Linked DNA regions of Alligator mississippiensis. The protein of the gene in region 2 binds, or shares a complex with, the protein of the main gene of each other region. Links are inferred from orthologs where the notes say so. Each region holds a gene or a part of one and is shown on either strand. Other genes may lie near its edges. The genes, in order: STRADA and CAB39.

Region 1 (12,152 bases), on a different chromosome or scaffold from region 2:
TTACTTAAAAAGGTGCAAAACTTAGAGCCTCTATATGGTATGAATATTTCAGGGATATAAACCAAGCATAGTTTTAGGAAAATCATTTTTTGAAAAACAAAAGGCACTGAAACAGTATTTCATAATCTGTAGGCTTGATTGGCATAGACAAAAGCTGTACATCCGTTATGTATCAGGGAATGGCATACAGGAGCACTGTTTCTTTCTTGTAGTTCTGAATGCTGCAAGCTTAATACAATGTGAATTCTGTACTTGTAAGTGTGTTTCTTATGAAGTGAGTGCATGGTGAGCTGACAGCTTCATTTAGAGTTTCATAAATATTTTAAACTTTACAAAGTCACTTCTTAAATATTTTCCTCCTGGTCTGAGCAGCTGCTGCCTATTTAACGTTCACCCAGAAGCTAGATTCTCAGTGAAATATCTGTACAATTTCCCCTTCTACCAACTAAGGGAAAACTCTATAGAAGATAAGCATCTTTTTCATCTGTTAAAAAGGCTGTTTACTTCTGGATTTTCAGGTTGGTTGGTTGGTTGGGGGGAATAGACACCTGCGCAAGCACCTAGCTGTCTGTCAAAGCTTTTGCATTTTATAAATGCTTCCTATCTAGAAGGCATTTTATTGTTGCTTGTAAGGGACACTCTAGTTTTGTGAGGGGATAATCTTTGTCTTTTGCATTTTCTTGTTTAATGCTTTATGTGCAAAACTTGTTCTGAGGCAATAACGATGACTTGCTGTTGAAACAGCATGTGCTAAAAGACTTTTTGTTGCAGCATGAGACGCTTCTTCACACTAATCTGAATGCAGAAATCTGTAATATGATACATGCAAATATATTAATTTTATAATAATTGGTGAAAAATAATTTAAGCCAAAAATTAACATAAGATTTATGTGGAATTTAACTATTTTAGCATTACTTAGCTTTGAAGAATGAGATTTAATATAGTATTTCACAAAGTTCTTTTAAAGAAAATACCATTAATTTGTGCTCTTTTCAATAAATGGAAAGCTTTCCTGAAGTCCCATGAACTTTTGGGCCATGGCAGCTAATTTTGTAATATGAACTACCTATGGAGAGTAAAATATAACTGAAACATTCCAACTGCCTTGACTTTGGACTCATTCCTTTTCACCATCTCGTATTACAGCCCTTACATTAAAAAAAAAAAAAAATCAATATTAAAACAACTTGCTATAGTTATATTTTTTTTCTCCACTCTTCTTCAGCCTAACTTCTTTGTGTTGCAAGAGTGTTGCCTTCTAACAGAAATTGTCGTGTTTGTCATTCGGGATGGAAATTGCCATATTTGTATCCTTCTCTTAGTAAGAAGAGAGCCAGCTTGTTTCAGATGATTTCAAACTTCTCACTTGGTATAGATGAAATGTAATTGTCCCAACACTAGATGTCAGCTCTTTCTTTTAAGGAACATTTCCTATTCATCTGTGTTTACAGCTAGAGGAAAATGGGATTCTAGAATACAGAGCATAAATCAGGTGGTCAAAATATAGCCTGTGGGCTAGATCTGGTCTGCTGGTTGATTGCATCTGACCCATGCCCTGTGGTGCACCGCATGGGGCTGAGCTCTGCCTGTTCCCGCCCAGGGTATCCTGTGCTGAGCTCCAGCCTGTACCTGCCCCATACCTGTTAATAGCCCCATAGCCCTGACCAGTGTGCACAGCTTCCTGGCGGGGCTGCTTCTAGTCACCTGCAGGCAGCTGCTCATTGTGTAGGGCAGACAGAGTGGGTAGAAGGTGGTTGGGAGCTGGAGCCCTGTGCACTGGGGCCAGGAGCTGGCTGCATGTAGCTGGGGTGACTGGGATGGCCACTACCAGTTTCCTGCACTACCTGCTGCCTGGACTGGTGCAGCAGGGGCAAAAAGGAGGAAGAGAAGCTGGGCAGCTGCAGCAGGAACAGCCCTGCCAGGAAGCTGCGTATGCTGGCACAGTGCCTTCGGTGGGAAAGAGCAAAGCTCGTCCCATGCAGAGTACTGTGGGCTGGATGCAGGGGGGAGGCAGACTGTATCTGCACTGCACCGCCTGGGCAAGTACATGTCCCCTCTCTCACCTCCATCCCTCCCTCCATCCCTGGCTGGCTGGCTTTCGGGACCTAGCATGTGGGTACCCCCACACACTCACCCCCTCCACCTCCACACCCCGTATACAAGAGTAAGACTTTATTTTGAGCTATCATGCAATTGCCTCTATATGCACTACTCAAAAAGCATAAATCAGGATAAAAATATTGTTTAATGAAATTAAAATATGTTTTTTTTAAGATGCTTGATTTTTAGCCATATGGGTTTTTATCTACAATTTGTTAAAATGGTATCTTCTGAAAGATTTTTGTGTGTGGCCGTCCACATCTCGCTAAAACTAGTTAAGTGGTTTGCCAGCCAAAACAATTGCCCAACCCTGGTGTAAATTCACAGCCCATTCTCGGATAGCTAACAGTGCTAAAAATCTTACAACAAAGTATTAATATTTTTAGGTGAAAGATGAGTCGCAATGGAGGCTTGTTATTTATTTGTTTATCTTCCATTTCAGTATTAAAATATTAATGGCGGTGGAGAATAATTAACACTTCTTGCATGCCTTGCAGAGATTTTCAGAATTTTGAGAGTAGTTTGGCAACTGAACAGAATACTTAAAGAAAAAAAAAAAGCATAAACCAATACTCCAGTCTTCCATATGCATTAAATTTAAAAGTGTTGGAGCATTTCAACTGTAGGGCAGTGTTGGGTTTCAGAGAAGCTTTTGAGTTGAGAGCTTCCTACCACCATGAAACTGATCTTCGGGATCACAACTGAGAACTTGGATGCAAGAGTCAGGAGATGAATCTCAGTGAAAATTTGACGCCACCTTTAATTCTATCAGTATCTATCCCTGTCACCCATGTAAAGTCCCATTCATATTTCCAAGATTGATCTATGCCCCTGAATCCATGGGTCTGTTCCCTCCACATCCAGGCACAATTTTCCTTTTCTTTTTCCTCTATAGATATGGAGAGAAGAGATTCCATTCCCCCCACAACCCTTCCCCTCCAACATACAAGACATCAGAAGCTGTATGAACTTGTCTGCATTTCTTGGTGTGTTACATAGCCTCTTTATGTGTTTTAGTTTCTGAGTCTATGGCAGGTGGCCCCTTCTGTGAACAGGCAGCAAAGCGAAAGATTTGGTTTCTTAGCTTTTGGAATTTTGGTATATTTTCAATATCCATCTCAGCTGCATGAGGCAGCATTATCATTTATTCTGGCATAGCTGTGTGGAACCATTGACTGCCTTGGACCGTTCTTCCTTGTAGGAATAATAGTTCTTAGCTACTTCTGGAAGCGTAAGTCTGCAGACTATGCCTTTCTGATAAACTTACATAAGCCTGATTGCAAGAACAGTGTAGAAGAATAAATGATACCTGATCTGAAATGAGGTGTTTTTTTTTCCCATTAACTAGTAATAATATCAGTGAGAGATGATCTTACCACCAACAATATTAAAAATGCTATGTGACTGAATCCTGCTCAAACTTGTTTAAGATTAACAGCTGACTCTATTTTTATACCCTGTAACAACTGAGATACCAACTGTTGTACTAAAGAAATTGAACTGTTTGCATAGCTGAGCTGGCTTTCCCATTTTTCTTTTCCTCTAACAAATGCTTTGTGTTGAGTTGGTAGTGTTGGAATAATGCAGCCATGATGGCCTAGGAATTGTGAGGGGCAAGGATTATTATGACTGATACCTTTTTATTGGACCAGCCACATGCGGACTTAGAAAAGCTGCTGGATGCATTGCATCAGTCATCGGATCAGATTTGCATTCAGCAGAATTGTATTGCATTCAAAAGCTTGTGTAAGCATACCCCAGCCATGCAGTTGGTCAAACAAAACATGTCACCCGCTGTGGTCCTTGCCTCTTATACTGACTTGTGCATCCTCTAGGACAGAGGTTCTCAAACTGGTCTGGGGGCCACCACTGGTCCGCGTGCTCCATTCAGGTGATCTGCAGAAAGGCTGCGGAACAATCAAGAATATCTGTACTTGTAAGACAGCTGATATTAAAATATGAGTTGCGTGCTTTGATTTGTAGAATGAAAAAAAGTTTAGCTGAGATCCTCAACAATTTTCAAGTGGTCTGCAAAAAAAAAAAAGTTTGAGAACCACTGCTCTAGGAATTTTAGAGGAAAGGTGCAGCCCTTTATGAAGCTGTCCAATATAACTTGTAGTGATGGACTGTTACTAGTGATGCAGGTTCTGGCCTTGGGCACGGCCTGTTTGACCTGAACATGTTACTGAACTTCTTTGCCTTGGCATGACCATTATGATGCTGAGCTCCTATTTAAGCATGAATTAAACCAGTGAAGTAGGTAACTGAAGTTTTAAATACTGCTTTGAGGTCCTTAAATGGAAATCACTGTAATGGTGTAAAATTGCCTGCTGTTTATGTGCTTTGTGATGACAGGTGCCCCTTGCTGCTCTGAGAGAAAAGTGTGAGACTTGACACAAAACGGCAGCTGGTAGGAGAACGGAGGGTGGCAAAACTGCCCCCAAGGGCTGTCTGGCTCAGGCCCGGGATGCAGTGTTACTCTCCTCTAGGCTCCCTTCGCTCATGTTAAACAGCGACTGCCTGGCCTGCAAACTCTCCCCAGCAGAGACCAGGTGTTGCCAGGTGTACGATAATTAGCATGTTTGTACAATAGTTTCAACCCTTGTACAACATACGATCAATAATAGTACAAACGTTCAAAATGCATGGATAATTTTGAGGCAGCTCATTGATGCAGCACATTCATCACCCACGTCACTCTCGGGATGTCTTAACTGAGGTTTGGGCTTGCTCCCAGCTCGCTCTCGCCACAAAGGGACTTTGATCCCGAAAGCTTGCAGAAAAGGCCCATTTTCTTGCGATTTCCCAGTTGGTCTAATACCAGCTATCATTTTGGAACCAAGAGTTCTAGTTTTTTTGTACGTCTTCAAAATAAAGACTGGGTTTTCGGTCATAGTCATGTTGGTCTAAGGACATGAGCAGGCCAGGGTCTCGGGAGTAGATGTGATCTCTCTTATTAGACCAACTGAGTAGTGGAGGGGAAACAAATTTGGCAAGCTTTTGGGTGGGGCGGGGGGTCTGCTGGCCTGAGGCTCCAAGGAATGAAGACACGTTTCAACGCTGCTGCCCCAGTTCTCGCTCACGGGCGAGTCCCAGCGAGCAACGTCAAATAAAGATGACTTGCCCGCATGTGTATGTCCGGGTTTCTCCAGCGCACGGCCGGCTTCCCGCACACGCGGCATTTCCGAGCGTCCCAGGCGGGCCTTTCCTACTTCAGACCCACGGAGCCCCGCGGGCAGCACCTAGTCCCTGCCGCGCGCTCCTCCGCTCCGCCCCGCCCCCGCGCAGAGGTCACGGCGGCTGTCACGCACGCGTCACGTGGTGGCGTCATCACGCCGCGCACGCAGCTCTGCTGCGTCCCGGGAACCGGCGCCTGGAGCCCGAGGAGTGAGCGAGTGAGTGAGTCCGCGCGCCGGGGCTCCTTGCCACTGGGTCCTGCACCCCCTTCCCCTCCCCCGGGTCCGGAGTGGCCCCGGCCCTCGCGGCCGCTTCTCCGCAACCTTCCGTGCGCCCCCCTCGCCGGGAGCCGGGAACGACCCGCGTCCCCGGCCCGGCAGCGCCCGCCCGTGGGAAGCAACAGAGTCCCGGGTCGCGCCCGAGCAGCACGACGGGCTCCCCGCGCAGTGCTCTCATTTCCCGCCTGCCGCTGCCGCCGCCTTCCAAATGGCTGTGCCCCGTGTCGTGCTGCCAGGGGGTCAGAGCAGCGCTTCTCGACCAGGAGCCAGGCCCCCTGCGCGGCTGGGAGATCCTCTGGGCCACCGGCGCCTCTTGGATCTGGGGGGGACCAGCAGAAGCCACCGATGGGCCCGGCTGGCAAGCACCTGCAGAAGCTGCCAATGGTGGTGGCCTTGTCAGGGAGTCGCACCAGCCCTGCCCACGTCAGCATCAGCTGTCGGGGGTGGGGGGCACTGGCCCTGTCGTGGGAGTGGGGCATGAGCACCCCTATGCACCCACTACCAGTTGCCTGTCAAGGGCAGTTAGCGTCACAAACCTGATTCGCCAGATAAACTGTTTCTCATCTCTGAGGGGTCTTTCAGAGTTCTTTGCAATGGAAAAGCTGCTTTCTTCTTTTTCTGTAGGCAAGAAAAGAGCGAAAACAGCATTGGCATTTTTGAGGGCTGCCTTGAGTCTATCCAGTGAGACCCCTGGGTTTAAAGAAATGATTACTGAAGGTTTGCAGGGCTGGACCTGGCTCGAGCCCGTAATGCTAGGTCAGCGATGTGCAGCCAGGGAACTGCGGCACCCTAGGATGCTGCAGGATCCTTTTAAGGGTGATGCACAGTATTAGCACTGTAAGTGTTTGCACACCTAACACATGATTCACCACATAAACTCATGTATTTTCTAATAGGCTTCCTTAGCATCAGAGACATTCTGATCTGTTGAGGTCTTTCTGAGTTCATGCAACAGCAAAATTGTCCTATTATTTCTCTGTAGTCAAAAACCAAGTGAAAGCTACATTGTTGGCACTTCCAAAGGGGCCTTGGGTCTAACAAGGGGTTCCTTGAGTTTAAAAAGGTTGAGAACCTCTGTGCTAGGTACTGTGCAAACACGCCATGAACATCCTTTCCCTAAGGAACTTGCTGGGTATTGGTCTGTGCATTGCATGGTAATCAATGTGTGATAGAAGATGTTTGGTAGGTTGTTTAGGTTCATAAATACTGGTTTTCAAAACTTGCTGCTACATGTTGTACAAATAACTGATTTCTCTTTTTCCTATTTTCAGGATATTTTTAATTTCACAAATTTGGAGTATTACAAATCTGGATTCCATGTCTTTTCTTGTAAGTAAACCAGAACGCATTAGGGTGAGTGTTATATGCCTTTTAGTTTTATTCCAAATAGCACTGCATCTGTATAAATTGTTCACTTCCATACATGAAAAGGTTGCAGGAATGAGGCCTGGGACTCGAGTGCCATTTGGACACAAGGTCTTCAGGGTTCTTATTACCTGAAACTTATGACCTGAAAACTAGATTTTTAAGTTTATTTCTAAAAATGCCTACTTGCAGAGGGAGAAATACTTCTAGAACCTATTGATCTCTGAGCAAGGTACTATATGTGCTTACAATGTGCTTGTATAATATGATAATAAGCATTCATTCTCTTCAAGTATTGGTCATTCAGTAGAACCTTATTACAAGGAACCATTTTTATAGCAAATCCTCCCTTTAACAGTCCCGACAACAGGAACCAATTTTTTTCATTAACTTTATTATAGCAAACACCCTCTTAATGAATTCTTCTCTTGAGTCCATGGCAGTTTGTTATAATGAAGTTATACTGTTTTTGCTGTTGTACAGTTGTGGTTTTATATAATTCCTTATAATTGAGAAAAATTGCAGAAATATTAGTCTTCCACCTCCTTTCTCTTTGAAAACATGCTTTTGGTTGGCCTTAGCGCATATATTTTGGTTATTGTTCTAAACTTAAAATTCATATAGAAATTTTATATTTAACTTGAATGTTCCTTTTTTAATGGTTGGAACAGGACAGCTTTGTTCTAGTGCTTAAAAATCAGGCAGCAAATAAAATAATTAAAATTAAAACTTGAAAATAAGTTACATGGAAAATGACTTAAGGATGTATTTTTTAATATAAAACACCAATACTGCAGGTAGGGAAATGCATCTTAAATATCAATTTAATTTTTTTTAACCTGTATGGAGTTGAACTGAAAGATCAGAGCAACATGCCCATCAGTCTAACTGCTACCCTGAGTTTTAAACATTGTTCAAAAATGTTCTTTTGAAAGAAGCTAACGCTTCATTAGCATGTGTACTTTTACTTTTAATATTTAGTTTAACTGATAAAAATAGACCTCTCCAAGGCAGTCGGCATCTAAACACATCATAAGAACGTTTACGAGCACTAGAATGTTTTGCAAGAGTAGGAGTATGAAGTATAGCATGTTTTTTGGCCTGAGAGTGTATTTGGCCTTATTTGCTAGTGTAGAGCTTCCAGATTGAGTGATATGAAGGTACAGTAGAATCTGAATCTTCTGTAGCCAAGTAATTCAAAACCCACTTAATTCACAGTGGTTGCTGAATTAAGGATGAGCCATTCAGCTGTTTGCTGTGGCTGGTGTTCTGAAGGATGCTGTTTCTCTACTCTGCTGGAGCGCCACAAGTTGTCCATCACAGTTGATCAAAAAGTGATGCCTTTTGAAATAAAACAGCAGGAAAGAGATGGAACACTCAGGAGTCCTGCTCAACTTTTCTGCAGCTCTGTATACCTCTGGTTACTTCATAGACCCTCATCTTTGCAGGGAGTAAGGAATTTAAATCCCTCAGAGTATCTTGAACCTCATGAATTTGAAATGCAGGGGACCAAAACATTTCAAAGTCAGTATAAAAGGGTTCAAATTATCCAAATTACTGTGGGTACATACAGACTTAGTTCACCTGCATGCAGACATTAGTAACTGATAATAACTGAGCCGCTATCCCAGTGACTAATTAAGCATACTTTATGGTATGCAGCACAAGGAGTTCCTATTGTAGAACAACAGCAATGATCGAGGGACACTTTCTCTAGTTAGCTCAGTCTAAGTGCCAGCACCGTCTGCAAATTTGCCATCCCCAATTCCACCAAACTGTCCTCCTCCCTCTCCCCCAGTATACCCGCTGGCACTAACCCCTGATCGTGCCAAACTGCCCCAATCCTACCAAACTGTTTCCAAGAGTTTATGGTCCAAGGGACCAGAAAATGACTTCAAATTGCAAGATAGCCATATTTCAAATTTTCTATATCATAAAGTATACAAAAACGTATCTTTTCAGCTGTGAGTGACAGTAGCTTTGAAGGATCCAATACTTTAAACTATCTGATATTGAACTAACAAAGTTTTTCCTATACTAACTGCTCTGGAATCTTACATTATCCAGAAGTTGGTTGTGTGCTGCCAGTGGGTGTATGCCATTATACAGATATGGGAATGTTTGCCATTTGAAATAGAAATAGTTGGTTATGGCAGATTGGAAGAGGAAGGAGGAGGGGGATATCTCAGCTGATCAATGAGCTCCTGTTTGTACTGTGCAAGTGTTAGACTAGTTAAGTCATTGGTATAATTCTGTCTTGGGTGATACTGAAAAAAAAAGCTGGTGAATGTATCTAGAGAAAATAATTAACTGGCTTTGGGGTTTTCTTCTTTAGAGGTGGGTGTCCGAAAAGTTCATTGTTGAGGGATTAAGAGAGTTGGAGTTGTTTGGAGGTAAGTACTGTTTTGTTTTTTTTAGATCCTTCAATAGAAATCTTGTTTATTTTGAACGTGAAGGTACCCATCAGTTTGGTGTAAATTAATGTCTAACTGCCACCGGAATTAACATATCAATTTGTAGTACTAAGTTTTCAGATTGGCTCACAAAAGTGAATTTAGAAGGAAAATAATTTGTCATATTATATACAGGAGTTGCTTTACAGCCTGTTGTAGTGCAGGTGTCAGGACCTTTCAGTTCATGGTTCATAACATTGTCTGAATAACCTGTTCTCTGTGTTAAGTACAGATTTTGAGCCTGAAAAAGTTACTTGCAGCTTGTTAAATTTGCAAGTAAAGACAAATGTTAAAACAATAACCTTACAACTTCCCAGTATAGCTGACACACAGTGAGCTGGGTTCTGTTCTGCCTCATACCTTATCACAATTGGCAGCTGAATTCTGGTCATAGACCCTCTGGTAGGTGATGTAAGCAATGAAAGGAAGATATTTGAGGTGGAGAAAAATCCATTTTACTGATGAATTGAACAGATATGATCTTTCCATGTTTGGCTTTGTAACTACATTGAAACACATTTTTCTATCAGATGTTGTTAGACTCTGTTCACTTTCACCATGGTTACAAGCCAGTACCATTTAACAGAAGTCCTTAGTATAGCTTTTGAAAAATATTCCTGCTAACTAGGCATCAAAACCAGATTGGTTGTACTGCTCAGTAGTGTGTTAAGCTACAGGGATACCAAAACTGTTTTAGAACCTGACTGTAGCTAGTACATCTTTGCTGATGATGAGGCCTGGACTATTTCCAGGGTTTTTGTTTTTTCCTGACTTACCAATGCTTCTTAGAAGAAATAACTTGTAAAATATCTGCCACAGTATAAAAAATCTGATTTAGAACCCTTTCTCTGAGTAGCTCTTAACCCCAGTATAAATAATGTAATTACATCTGATTTTAATGTGACTTGTACTTGGGTTGAGAGTGGATCTACTGCATTTATCTAAGCCCCTTGCTGCCTAGCAACACTGTTAGAAGTAGCCTAAGAAGGTTCAAATAAGATTTTTTGGTACTTTAGGAGATGTGGAATTCTGCAAAATATTTCTCCGTTTTCTGCATCTCTCTTGTATGTGTTGTTAAACATTCTGAGATATTATTTAAGTAAATTTTCCCCCTAAATATGTAAATACATCCATATCATCATCTTTTAAAAAATGGATTAAAGATCAGAAATTTAAAAAAATGTATGGCTGATGATGAGGCTGTTTGAATCTGTTTAATTTCTATGCTTTTTTATTACATTTCTACCTGTACCATTCTTGATGTTTTTCATGCTGTTTGTAACTTACCATTGCAAATTTAATTGTAAATTTAAAATGTTCTGCCTGGGAGTGTTTACCTGTGTGTGCCTAGCACCAAAAGATTACTTTTGGGTTATTTACATATCTGTTGAAGAAAACATGGTGAACGATTAATTTCTTTAATCCAGAGCAGCCTCTGGGTGACTCTCGGAGAAAAGTAAGTGATTTTTTTTGCAGGCTGTGGTGCTGTGTTTTATTGCATGGAGATATTTCCTTGTGGAAGCTTGATTTTTCTTTTTACCTTATTTATATGTCATCTATAGATTTAGATTACATTTGTGGAAACAGGTTTCACCCTGGAAAGCAGATTTTGGTGTGTAGTTTTGAAATGCTCGCATGTGGTGGTTCAGTCATAATTCTAAAATTTATTCTCCAAAGCTCATGTTTTCAAATTGGTTACTGCTTCTGTATACTACACTTAAGTTGTCTTGCATTTGTTTCTCAAAAGCACCAAGCACCTGTAGTCCTATTTACCTAAAATCATTTGAAGCTCTGTGTGTCCTGAATGTTTGAAAATTGGGGCAGCGTTTCAGGTTGAACATTCAAAATTGGTACCTACTTCTGAACATTTTTACTATAATTTCCTTTCTTTACTTTCTACCAATTCACCAAAAGAGGACCCAGCATCAAAAAATAAAATTGGATAATCTTCAGTTTTAAAGGGGCTTTACCCTGCAAAATTCCATTGCGATTGCTATCTGTCTGACTTGCTTCAGAGCCCACATTGCCAAAGTTTCATGCCTTTAACTGGTGCTGCATTTTGCATAGACTGTTTCACATTCTTAAAGATGAAATCTCCTGTGGTGCCATGAAATACAAACCAAACATGTGATATAGTCAAAAACAGGACAGTTTGGACTAGTCTAGTTCTTGTGGTCCTGGCCACAGAGGTTGTCTTAGCCTTTAAATTGGTATTAAATAAGCGATAATTCTGATAATGATAACTTTAAGCTCAAATTTATGTAACAATTTAGCTTATGCCTACAATTTTACTTGTGCAGACTAAACGGATAAAAGTCAGGGTTATATTGGATTTGGTGTTTCCAGAGGATATATCCTCAGTTTAAACTCATTGTTTTACAGTGATGTCTTTTGTTAGGTTGTTGCAAGATTGTGTTTAGATTAGTCTAGAGACAAAATGCATCTATTGTGCGTAATTTGTCTTTCTAAACAGAAGACATTAGTGGGTACGTAGACATCTTTGATGATGATGCTGAAGTTTTTTGCATTGAAAAAAGCACCAAAATAACTTTTCTATTTGGGTAGCTATGGAAGCAGGGCAGTAATTACTAGGTAAAGGAAATTATTGTAACTTGAGTCAAAAGTGAGCATGAGACACTTAAGTGAAAACAACAAATAACAAAATATTCTGTTTTACTATGGCAACAAACCCCAAATGTAATCCAAATGAATTTGATTTGGCAAATTCAAATCCTTACTAGGGTTGCACAGCTCTGGTTTCTTCATGGCATTGATA
Region 2 (11,822 bases):
AAAACGCTTTTTTAAAATGTGTAAATTAACATCCTAGATTAATGTATTTCTGCAGGTTTAAGCAGACTGTTTCAATATCACTAATGTCATAAAAGATTTCTCATTGCTAGCAGCTTGAAATTCCAAGCTGTCCATTTCCATGAATATTTGTCATAATTTTGATAATGTGCCTGAAGAGACATAACATCACTAGAGATTTACATTTCTGTACACTATCTTCACATATTTATTTAAACACTAACTGAACTAGTCTTTCCTACAAACATGTATACCAAACTCAGTGAAAAACTAGCCATTTTAAAACATTTGACTGCAGTCCCAGTTCTACGTTGCTCAGCCGTTTTGAGGTGTGGAAAATGTAATTAGTTTTTGCTTTAGTTAACTGTTGACAATACTGCTTTTAGTAATAAAATGAAGTACTGTAACATTTGTTTTCAAAGCTAGTAAGAAATGGTAACAATTCTTTATAACAAGGTGGTAACCAAAAGCATTACATTGAAATTTATTTCACTTACAAGGTAATCGGTGTATGAAACATTTAAAACCGCACTCAAAAGAGAAATTCTGAAAAGCCAAATCCTACTGTTCTGAACTGATATATTTAAATATATCTGCACTAAATAATTTTTTAGGTTTCAGGACCGTCTTACAGGAAAGATAAACTGAACCCTTTTTTATGAAAACTTGAAGAGGGAGGAGTACGCAGGACATCTGCGCAACAAATCCGTTTTCAGCAACAACTCACCAATAAAACTGGCACTTAATTGGAAGTAGCGTACCATTACTAGTAAGTGGGCATTAAATGGACACGAGCTACAGTGTTTAGTTTTCCCAAAAAGTTATGTCTTTGTCTATGAGTTTTCCAGAGATATCTCAAATTCAAATTATACCCAAACAGCTCACACCTCCTTTTTGCCTATTTAAACTCTATAGTTTGAAACTTTTTATAGTACCCTGTGACCACATAGGACACTAGCTAACACTCAAAACCGGGGAGTCTGATTGCACGTTGAGCCAGTTTATTTAAAACCTGACAAAAAAAATTACTTCCTAAATTGATGTTTTGATGTTACTTGGGAAAAAAAATAAATAGGTCATGATGTATTCTGAGTTATGACCATGTTTGCTTCTGTATGCACTATGTGGCTACTTCCAGAGTGATTCAATACTGAACTTGTTCCATTTTACAAGGTATTTGAACAGTGAAAACTGAAAACAACATTTTATTACTTGGCAAGATAAAAAGAGCATGCAAATTTGTTTAGCTCCAATACCCAACTCACATGACTAGTTATTAGGTGCTCAGTGCTTTGGAATGTCAGCCACTTATTAAGATAAATATGGCAGGAAGGAGCTAACCACAGAACTTTAAAAAAAAATCTTGACCAAGGTTCTTAGAACTAAGCAAGACAGCGTCACCTTCTTATTTGGATTTTTGGTATATTTGCTACAATTCTCTCCTTCTCATTACTAGAGTATCATTACTACAGTATAATTTAGTTTCATTTACATTGACAAAACTCTTAAAATGCAACAAGGGGTTCAAGGAGAGAGAAGCAAATAGAATTAACCTGCAAAAAATCATAATAAAGAATACACCCAAATTAGTAAGAGAGGTGGTTAGTCTTGTTAGTCTTAAATCAAGCAGCAGGTAGAGCCGGGTGGCACCATAAGAACCTAAGCAAAGAAGTAGCTTAAGAAACAGTTCTCCTGCTTAAAGCAGCACATTTCCTGAGGTCTAATAAGAATATCTAGCATGTCTGTGCTCCAACTACAACTATAAAATAAACCAGAATATATGATGCCTTGTGCCACTCAACTGCTCGCATGCAATTAATTTAGAAATTCTGTTCCCCAGCCTTTGTGAATGCTTTTCAATAAAAAAGCTGATGTCCACAGGGTATGATGGAAGATGTCAGGGAAATTATGATTCTTTTATGATTATGTGGCCGAGCTGACAATTATGTTGCTTGATTTTCCTGCCTTTTTGTTCTTGTTATTGTCTTGCAAATAGTATTCATCTCATTTTTGCTCATAAAAGCAGCAGAGAACCTTGGAAGGCATCTGAAGAGTAGAAAATGGCAAATCTTAATGTGTTTTTAAATAGTTATTCTTGTAACCTTATCCCATTAACATGTGTTTTTTTTACCAGCATTCCAGTTGCTGTGAAATCTTTTCATTTTAGTTACTATTTTTAAGGAACCCAGAATTTTTCTATGGCAATTAATAAGTCTTGAAACAAGGCCTTAAAAGTTTAGCTTAAGCCCTTAATATGCTTAAAACTTAAGTTATTCAGCTCTGTACCTAATTCTAAATAATGATCTCATTTTAACAAACTATTCTTTCCACAAACAATTCACATGACGGGAAACTCTGGGGAAACGGCACTACCTTGGAATTCTAGTCTTTACAAAGAATTTGAAGAACCAAGAAAGTACGCAGCACAAACAGTAAGGCCTACTTGAATAGCACCAGTTAATTAGAGAAGCTACAGTAATAACTTTGACGGTATGATGCAAGAAATATCTAATTCCCCCCTGAATAAACATTTTATAATAGCAATCAAGAATTCCAAGAGGTGGAGTTTTCTTAGCATAAGCACACCCCATTGGGAACAAACATTTGTCTGTGCCTGATAATACCCAAGGAGTATAATTATCTCTCAAAACCATACTGTCATAGAGTATTACTGAACTACCATATTAGAGTTTGCCTCCTTTTATTAATGTAGAAAAAATATGCATATCCCCAGTAAAACCCTACAACTTCTAGGCCAGCAGTCTCCAACCTTTAAGCAGGAGATCACCTTTGGCATGTAAAAGCAACCCAAGAACTATGGTGTGCTGTTGCCACTCTCCCCCCTGCCCAGCAGGTAAGTCTGTGGGGTGGGAAGGGGTTGAGGGGTAGATCGAGGCAGAAAAAGAAAAAATTATTTGGGGGCATGCCTCCCAAACAGATAAGTCCCACCGGGCCAGGGCACCACTCAACTTACCCCTTGTCCTGCCTCTGCGGCACTGTTCCTCACAGCGGGGGCCTTATTCTAGCCCCCACCCCTACCCTCTGCCATAGACTGACCTGCTGGGTTGGGGCACATGTGTTCATGCACGTGGGCACTCAGCCCCCGACCCCAGCCTCGGATTGACTCCAAGAGGCTCCGAGATCCACTGGTTGGCAACCACCGTTCTAGGCCTTTATAGCCTTGTGTTATTTGAAAATCCAAGATGAACCAGTAAAGCAATTTATCCTCAGAAAAATGCTTAAAGTCCTGGATTTATGTGAACGAGGAAGAAATGTGAAGACCCAATTGACAAAACTAGAATTTTAAGACACTGTGACAAAACCACACACACACACACACACACCCCCAACACGTATATTTTATTATTAGACACCTTCGCTGTTTTCTTTTATAATGTTAAGATACAATCTCACATTTTCCTGTGGTATTTCCTTTTCTGTCTATAAAAAAAAAGCCTGAACTGCTCACAGAATCACACTACCCATAAGATGCCAAGACAATAAACAAATAAACTTAAGTCAACTCTAGGCTGACCGGCTGGCTCAGTCGCTTCAAACATCACAAGATCACCAGTGAGCTAACTGAAAAAACAATATTCCTATAAGAGCAAGTCAAGGACAGACAATTGTACAAACAAACAGGGTCCTGGGATGTCTTTATCGTGATTTCTATTGTGTATCAACTGCACACAAAGTAATACATTGTCAAGAAATTCTTTTGACACTGAAACAACTACCACGCCTCTCCTAATTCACACAGCAAGTCCTTTAAGTCACTTTATACAACTAAAAAAAATCATCTATGTACAACAATATACGTTAGACAGAAGGCGTGCAGTTTTGAACCATTTGCTCAATAGAAATAACTATATTATTTAAGGGCAAACTAAACAGTTTGGCTGCCAGGGCTCATGTTCGGGGTGCTCCATTTTACCTGTAACATCCGACAGCACAAGCACCAAAATGCTCCAGGAAGACACATTTGCTGCTGAGCAGGGCCCGCACTCATGTCTTTGGATGGGACTGTTTGCAAATTTAATTACAGAAGTCATTAAGACCTCAAATATATATTTAAAGTTTCACAGGCCGCCTGCCTGACAGACAATAGGCTGAGACTCGACTTTTTTCTTTATCCTGTTCCCACAGATGTGCTTTGCTGATGAAAGCACACAAGGTCTCTCCAAGTCAAACACAAGGCTTCAACCCACCCTGTTTCAGGAGGGGACTCTTCTGTTCTCCAGTGACCCCCCCCCCCGCCCCGCCCCACCCCCACCCACCCCCGGGGGGAAGGGCCGTATCAGGGCCGCAGGGTGACAGGATTTAGTGCCCAGGGGGGTTGTGAGGCATCCCCCCAAACCCGCCGCGGGGCCCTGCTGAGAGCCACCACCAAGGCCCGAGGCCCGACTGCTGCAGGGCCCAGGCCGCGGCGCGGGCCGCGGTGACATGGAAAGTTTGAGCCCGGCGCACGAGCAGCTCCCCGGAGCAGGCGGCGGCAGAGAGACAACGGCAGCGGCGCCGGCCCGGACACCCACCCCGGGGGCTCCCTCGGCCCCGCACCGCACCCCCGCCCCGCACACCCGCCCGGGGCAGCAGCAACCGCTGCACGCAGCGGCCCCGCCGCGGGAGGGGAGGGGAGGGGAGGGGAGGGGCCGGCCCCGCACGGAACCCCGCGGCCCGGCCCAGCCCAGCCCGGCGCGGCGCAGCCCAGCGCGGTACCTGCGGCGGGGCTGCGCTGCCCGGCCCGGCCCGGCCCAGCCCGGCGCGGCGCTCCCTGTTCCGCGGCTGCGACGCTGGTGCCTGGTGCTGCCCGCCCGGGTGCTGCGCGGCGGCGCGGCCCTGCCCTGCCCTACCCTGCCCTCCCCGGCCCGGCCTCGGCGGCGGATCCCAGCGACGAGCCGGCAGCGGAGGCGGCGGCAGCCTGCGCCCCGCGGCCCGGCCCCGCTCGCTGCTGCCCCCGGCGGCGCGGCGGACTCGGCGGCGCGGCCTGGTCCCGCCCCGGCCCGCGTGAGGCGCCGCCCGCCCTCCACAGGAGGCAGCCGAGCCCGAGGGGCTGGGGCGGAGGCTGGAGGCGGAGGGGGGGCTTCAAGGCCGGGAGGCGTTGCCCGCAGGCCGGAGGAGAGGCCCAGGGCCTCGGGAGGATTCACAGCCCGGCCTGGCGCTGCTGCACTGCACGGGTCTGGTCTGGGATTTGCTTTTATTTAAGGAACATTTTTCGTGGCCCAAGTCAAATTAACCAGATCAGGTCCAAATCCGTTTGAATCATACAAGAACCACGTGTGGCCCTGCTCCGCGCAAGCAGCCCCCGCCCGCGGCTTCACATACTTCCAGGTCCTTTGGCGGGTGTCCTACGTGCAGGCCCCTGCCCGGAGGCGTTCAGGTGCCCGTGGCTTTCACTCGCCCTCAGCCCTCCGGCCACAGGAGCAAGCTAGGGCGGGGTCTCCCACATCAATAAATTTGGCGTGTAGCCGAGATCCTCTCGCTGGAAGCAAGTCGTAGGGAGTCCTGTGGGCAAGCAGACAAGGGTGCAACTCTGCTACACAGTGCCATTTTAATTGCATTACCTTGGTCAGGGCACTTCCCCTGCCACCATCATGGTCATGGTATTTCCCCTGCCATGTAAACATCTGGTGCTGGCGCTGCAGGCGCGTCCGGCCAGCTCTGTGCTGCATGCCGTGTGCGCCGGCAAGCCCATGTCCCTCATGCAGCACGCTGTGAATCTGGCACCACATGCAGTGTGCAAGGTCAGCCCGGCATGCACCGCATGTGGGGTGCAAGTCCACAGCAGCACAGTGGGCTGTATCCTTCACACCCCTCAATTACATCATTAAGCAATTGAACCAGTCTGACTGGAATACCCCCCCAAACCCAGGCCAGGGACCGAACAGCTCCCTGATAGGCTGCCACTTTCATTTTGATGAACTAGTTAGGTCATCACTTGCATAGGATGGTCTCCAACTAGCACGTGTTATATAGTACATGGGCCAAAGCCAACAGCGAAAGAACAATGCCATGGCATTTTAGAAGAAACACTCAAAAGACAGCCACAAGAAACTAAAATCTTATTCTGGAGAAACAAATGGAATGTGCCCCAAATTCCACATATTTGGACCAAAAAATATGTGCACATGAAAATCTCAGACTGGCTATAAAAGTATCACAAACAGCACCTCAGTGGACCATAATAAAGCACCAAGTAAACATGAACCTCCCATGAAATATTCAACAGAACACTTCTTTCTGTTTTCCTGTATGGGAGGGAGTGTGTTGCGCCCAAATAAGAAGCCTGTTTTAACTCTTGGGACAACCCCACAGAAGAAACTCCATTATGTGTAGTTTTGCAACAAATACTTTTATGTACTTCAAAGTGTCATCAATAAAGCAGGGGGAGAGTTATGTCAATTCCTTCTATTCAACATAGACCCTCCCCCAACCAAATTCTAGGTGTCATATCACCCAAAGCAACAAACACTGCACCACAAAGTACTAAAGCAGTAGGAGCCAAACTTTTTGGCAGGCAAGCTACAAATTAGCCCTGAACCCTACCCAAATGCCACACCAACCGCTTCCCCTGCCCTGTCTGTTACTCTGTTTTCTACTTCCTTCCCTTTTCTCCCTGCCCAATGTGCTGCTTTGCTTTTCGATTCCTGCCCTATGTGCAGCTGCATTGCCTATCCCCTCCCTGATCTAACATGTGCCACACACAGAGGCTGCCCATACCACTTGTGCACCCATGCTGCAAGTTGGCCACTGTTATAGTTAGAGGTTCACCATTATATCAGTCCATATCGTATTGGGACCAATAAAGGGAAAATTGACATTATCTGTAACCAGCTTTTTTTGGCAGGTGTAGCCAATAATGTCACCAATAAATTCTGTGTGCATGCATGCAGCCGCAGCATGCACGTGGCCTTTGGAGAGCAGCGTCTGGCTGGTAAATCGGGGGGGGAGGGGTGTGTGGGGGCAGATTGAGGCCCCAGTGGTGAGGGTAAGGTGTGGGGCAGGGGAGGCACTCCCAAACAGGGGTGGGGTGGAGTGTAGGACAGAGTCACGGGCAGCTTGTCCAGGGATGGGGGGGAGGGGAGAAAGGGGGTCACTCCCACCACTATGCACACCCCTGGGGTGTTCCCTGACTCTGTATGCAGGATGAGGGGAGGCTGCCCACTGTGGACTTGGGGCCAGAGGCTGCATCAGTCTCTTCCTGGCTGGGGCTGAGCTAGGGCTGTGCTCAGGGCAGGTGGGGCAGGGCTGACGGGAGTGGTGCTGGGAGTGGGGGTTTGGGGGGACTACAGCAAATTTTGGGATGGCTGTAACTCCGCCCCCCCACCCGTAGCCCCACCTCCCAGCACCTCTGTTATCCACCCCAAGCACAGCCCCAGCCCAGGCCCCGCGGAGAAGAGGCTGGTGCAGCCCCTGGCCCCGAGCCCGCACTGGGCAACACTCCCTCCCCTCACACACGGACCCAGGGGCATATGGCCCCAAACCTCCCCCAGGGGTGCATGCACGGCAGGAGCCACCTTCCCTTCCCACCCTTCCAAACCCTCTGGATGAACCACCTATGGCTCCATCCCATGCCCCATCCTGCCCTGGCTGGGAAGCACCTGTCCCAGCCCCAGCTCCAGCTCCATGCCCTCCCTCACCATGGTGGCCTTGATCTGCCCCTCCCCCAGACTTACTGGCTGGGCACTGCTCTCCAAGCTGCCAGGCTGCATAATTGGCAATCAGATCAGTATCGGCTGATATGGCTGGTTAATAATTGGCCATCAGTATTAGCAAAAAAATCTTTATCAGTGCACCCCGAGTTATAGTGAAGGATCAGCTATGAGATCTAAATGAAAGCATGACTCGCTCACTGCTGTTTCACCACTCCCTGAGTTCAGCAATGCTAACCTGACCAACACAGCAAGTAGCCCCTTCCCACCATGTGGAACACATTTAGAGTACTTCCCAAGGTTGGGAGCACCTCTCTAAGGGGCATGAAGGAAAAAAGAGAAGGATCAGAAAATGTTTAAACTGACAAGGTTGGTCCTTTAGCAGCATTTAGCAACAGTTGAAGGGCAAAAATCAAGCTAATTTTCTTGAAGAAAGCTCAGCTTTTAAAAGTTTTGGAAGCACTGCACTAGATTAAAACTGAAAACAGCAGTGTATAACCCCTTGGGAGGAAAAATAAAAAACATTAATAGCTAGGACTGCTGAAAGTCCCTGTCACAAGAACAAGCTGCTTTGTTACTGTGAGATGTGCTAAGCCAAGTTAGTACCATTAAATATATTAAGACAAGGCAATTTCTCATCCAACATAGAATCAGTGACTATAAACTAGAGGTGGAGGCATGGATAGACTAAGTATAGCTCAAGCCCTGAGAGAAGCATTTTTTTAGCTAATCAGCAAAAAGAGAAGAAAGAGAGGGGGAGAGGGAGACTTTCTACGTCCATGTCCAAAACACAGGAAAAAGTAATAACGATGTTTGCACAAACTGTCAAGGATGATAAAAGACTTTTCACCAAAAAGTAATGACTCTCTTATCCATGCAACATTTGCCAAGGTGCGTGTGTGTATTAAAGTTGATATTTGATTGTATTCTGCTTACTCAGGCCTCTTTGATATTTGTCTTTTTATATAAATTCTTTAGGCTAGAAACATTCTGTTTGAGGAAGGGAAACGTGTTTCTACAGGATTTAAACTAATTGGAATCTGACTGACTGTGGCTTGTTGGCAATATTGTAATAAATACTAATATTAATACTGATAAGGGAAAAGAGAGAGATGCCAGTGAAAGCTTTCCCTTATCCAACACCCTATCATCTGATCCTGAAGGAATAAATATCACCTTGTGAAGCCCTGTCACATTGCTACATTTTAGCAACACTAGCTTAACTTGCCAATTAGTAAAACTAGTATGGAATTCAACAGAACTTGGATAGCCTACAAAATGAGCACTTCGTATCTCTCACATACATACTACTCACAAAAAGGGCCAAGTTGTTTGGAAGCAGGGAGTCTGCTTTAGGTTGCTCTCTACATTGTTTTTTTTTAATGTGAGCTGTGTCTAAATAGCCTTCAGCACTGAATTATCTACCTCTTGTTCCAACCAGTGCACTTCCACTGGACACAAAAATGTAAACCACTGTGTCATCTAACCCTGACCGGCTGGGGGGGGGGGGGGGAGGCAGGATAGGACAATAGTTTAAATAGTACAGCCACAAGCAGCTTTTCTGCACTGGCATTGCTGCTGCAGCTGGTACCCCACTCCTAGCAACTAGAAAAACATTAGAAGAAAAAAGATTCAGGCAGACAGAGCCATAGTTTTGGTTGGAAAGTTATTGTGGACAAGGATCATTTTGCTTCCATCTCAGTGGATCCCTTGTTTTGCCAGTATTGTTTTACCTTGCCTCTGTGGGCAGAAACCACATATTGGAGTCATGCAACTTAGATACAAGCAAGGAAAAACAACTTTGACCACAGCAACATCTCATCACAGTACTATTGCTTCCTTTAGGTGAGAGGTTAGCCAATATTTGAGACCTCATTGGGTTGTTGCCATGAAGAGGAGAAATCATTTTAGTCAGGTATATTTTTCAATGAATTCCTGTTTATTTCCAAATAACATACTCAAAGCCCTGTTTCCCTGAGCAAAGAAGGAACTAACAACAAGAAAGTTTCCTTATTCATACTTACAAGCTTTCTTCTCCAACCAATGCTATTTCGCAGGCCAGGGGATGGTGTCTGTCTACTCCTTTGCAGGCCATGCTCACACTTGCTTTTCTCACTGTCAGTTGGTTTCTTGAGCTTTGTGTGTGTCATGTCTACAAGATGCCCCAAGATCCCTCACTCCCTGCATTTTTTAACCAGTCTCTGGGAAATCCCTTTTATTCTGCCTGAATTATTCAGGCCTTGCCATGAAGCTCAGTCCCATAGGCTCTAGTTTTTATCATTTCCAGCTGTCAGTCTCTCAATACGTCTTAACTGATGAGAATGAAGCATATTTATCTCGCTTTAAAAAGGTCTTTGATTTCCTGATCAAAGACCTGCTTCACAGCAGCCCTTGCCGGCTTCTAACACAACTCAATTTAAACATAGTTATTTTGTAGTATGGACTACCACTAAGTTATTCCCTCTCTATCATCACCAGGCCTGAGGAAGAAAGGCCCTAATCTTGCATTACCCATCAACTACCTAACACTCAAGAGCATTTATGAGAACTAGTTGATGTCTATTGAATACTTTTTAGTGCTTTAGGAATCAGATTTGCCAGCCTATTCGAGTTGAGCGAAGTGGCCAAAAATGCCCAGTGAAAAACACTTCTGAGACAGAAACTCTGCAGGGCCATCACATTACCAGCAGAGTAGGCCTGTTGGAGGGATATGGACTGAGATAGGATGAAGCTTCATGACACCTATCCTCTGCTGGTGTGAGTAAGAGCAGCTTCTCCACTGCCCTAACTAACATGCCAGCCAGTACCTGCATCTAAAGAATGAAGCTTAGGCACTTGTAAGAACCAAGCCCTATGTGCCATTCAGCATGACAGGTTTCTAAGATAGCACTGACCTTGGACTCCCACTGCTTTATTTACTATAAGTCTTGTCCCATGGCTGGAGATTCTAAAAGATGACACCTGCCATTTCAAAGCCTCACAGAAGGCAGATATTTTAAAATGTTAAAAGCAGTCCAAAAAATGAGGGCGAAACCTTTCAAATAAAGAATATTTGCCATCTGTTTCTATATTTTTTTTACTGCATTAAATTGCCGCAAAAACTATTTTATTATTGGCTGGATTTATGCTGCTCTTTATTGGTAATTCTCCTCTTTGGGCTTTGTCTTATTCAATTCCAGTTAATTATTACTGTGCTTTCAACTTTTATTTTGCCAGGAGGCTGGGGTTTTTTTTTTATTGTAATGCTTACCTTACACTTTTGCCATATTAAGATCTTGAGTTCTAATGTGTTAAACTATTTGCCATATCATACCATATCAATTCTTGCATTCAGATTTCTGATGAAAAAATATCCCTGGGCTTTTCCAGAGACTATGTTGTACAAGGTTCAGATCATGTCTGCATCACCTGTAGGTAATATAATGCTGGATCTACACTAGCCTGGATTCTCTCTCTTCTATTCAATATACAAATACATATATCAAAGGTATGCTGTACAATAATTAACACAAACATAAAATACTACCGTAAAGCAGAAGAAAATGCATGTATGCAAGCCAGTCTTTAATTATGATTCATTCTGGGCTGGGGATGGACAAAACCTGCATATAGATTTCTGATATATTAATGCCTTCATGGCCTGATTTTCTAATGTATTATTAAGCTCCTCCTACATTATTGTTCTGCACATCTTGTGCAGCTTTTTCTGCCTTAAACTTCTGTTTAAATATTTTTGCCACATTACGTATCTCCTGAATTATTTTCCTGTGCTTCTCCTGTCACATTATAGTGATTGTCCTCTGCTGTGGACCCTAGCACCATTTTTCACTTGCATGAGAAGCTACTGCCTGGAATTATATCTGTCAAGTACAAATTTGCACATCTCTAAAACCAACTGTCAATGCTAGCACCATGGTTTCACTATTCATGTTCCTTACCTGGACATTTGTCACATGAAGGAAAGCTCCCTTATCTAGTCTTTAAAAAATTGGGGACCCAAATATTAAAGCTTTTAAGAGGCCCCCATGCAACACAGTATTTGTTCAATTATGTAACTTCAACACAAAGAAAGTCCCTGCTGCTGAGGGCAGTGTATACTTTAATACATTATAGCTAAAGAAATTTTCACATAGCTGTTTCCTCAAATCCTCCTCC

The links.
Region 1: the proteins of CAB39 (region 2) and STRADA are in contact, whole or in part, in a crystal structure (PDB 3GNI), measured with the Homo sapiens proteins. The link is inferred for Alligator mississippiensis from reciprocal best matches to the Homo sapiens genes CAB39 and STRADA. Residues at the interface, in NP_001124321.1 of Homo sapiens: Leu26, Glu27, Lys28, Gln29, Tyr55, Gly56, Thr57, Asn58, Ala85, Asp86, Gln88, Leu89, Phe92, Glu93, Lys96, Arg107, Glu138, Leu141, Ile145, Ser176, Thr177, Phe178, Asp179, Ser182, Asp183, Glu221, Asn222, Tyr223, Val224, Arg227; in NP_001003787.1 of Homo sapiens: Pro64, Leu104, Glu105, Cys107, Ser108, Asn109, Val112, Gln116, Leu119, His120, Lys123, Leu124, Phe125, Asn126, Thr136, Phe137, Ile138, Asp140, Asn141, Leu143, Tyr185, Met189, His223, Gly224, Arg226, Val426, Asp427, Asp428, Trp429, Glu430.

Annotation. Positions count from the first base shown.
Region 1 is NC_081827.1:158,676,522-158,688,673, reverse strand, and holds the start of STRADA (STE20-related kinase adapter protein alpha), read left to right. Parts: upstream 1-5,413; 5' UTR 5,414-5,490; intron 5,491-6,829; 5' UTR 6,830-6,875; coding exon 6,876-6,911; intron 6,912-9,258; coding exon 9,259-9,316; intron 9,317-10,803; coding exon 10,804-10,832; intron 10,833-12,152. UniProt on the Homo sapiens protein: Pseudokinase which, in complex with CAB39/MO25 (CAB39/MO25alpha or CAB39L/MO25beta), binds to and activates STK11/LKB1.
Region 2 is NC_081830.1:44,516,222-44,528,043, forward strand, and holds the start of CAB39 (calcium-binding protein 39), read right to left. Parts: upstream 4,893-11,822; 5' UTR 4,869-4,892; intron 4,858-4,868; exon of another isoform or gene 4,735-4,857; intron 4,053-4,734; exon of another isoform or gene 3,953-4,052; intron 1-3,952. UniProt on the Homo sapiens protein: Component of a complex that binds and activates STK11/LKB1. In the complex, required to stabilize the interaction between CAB39/MO25 (CAB39/MO25alpha or CAB39L/MO25beta) and STK11/LKB1.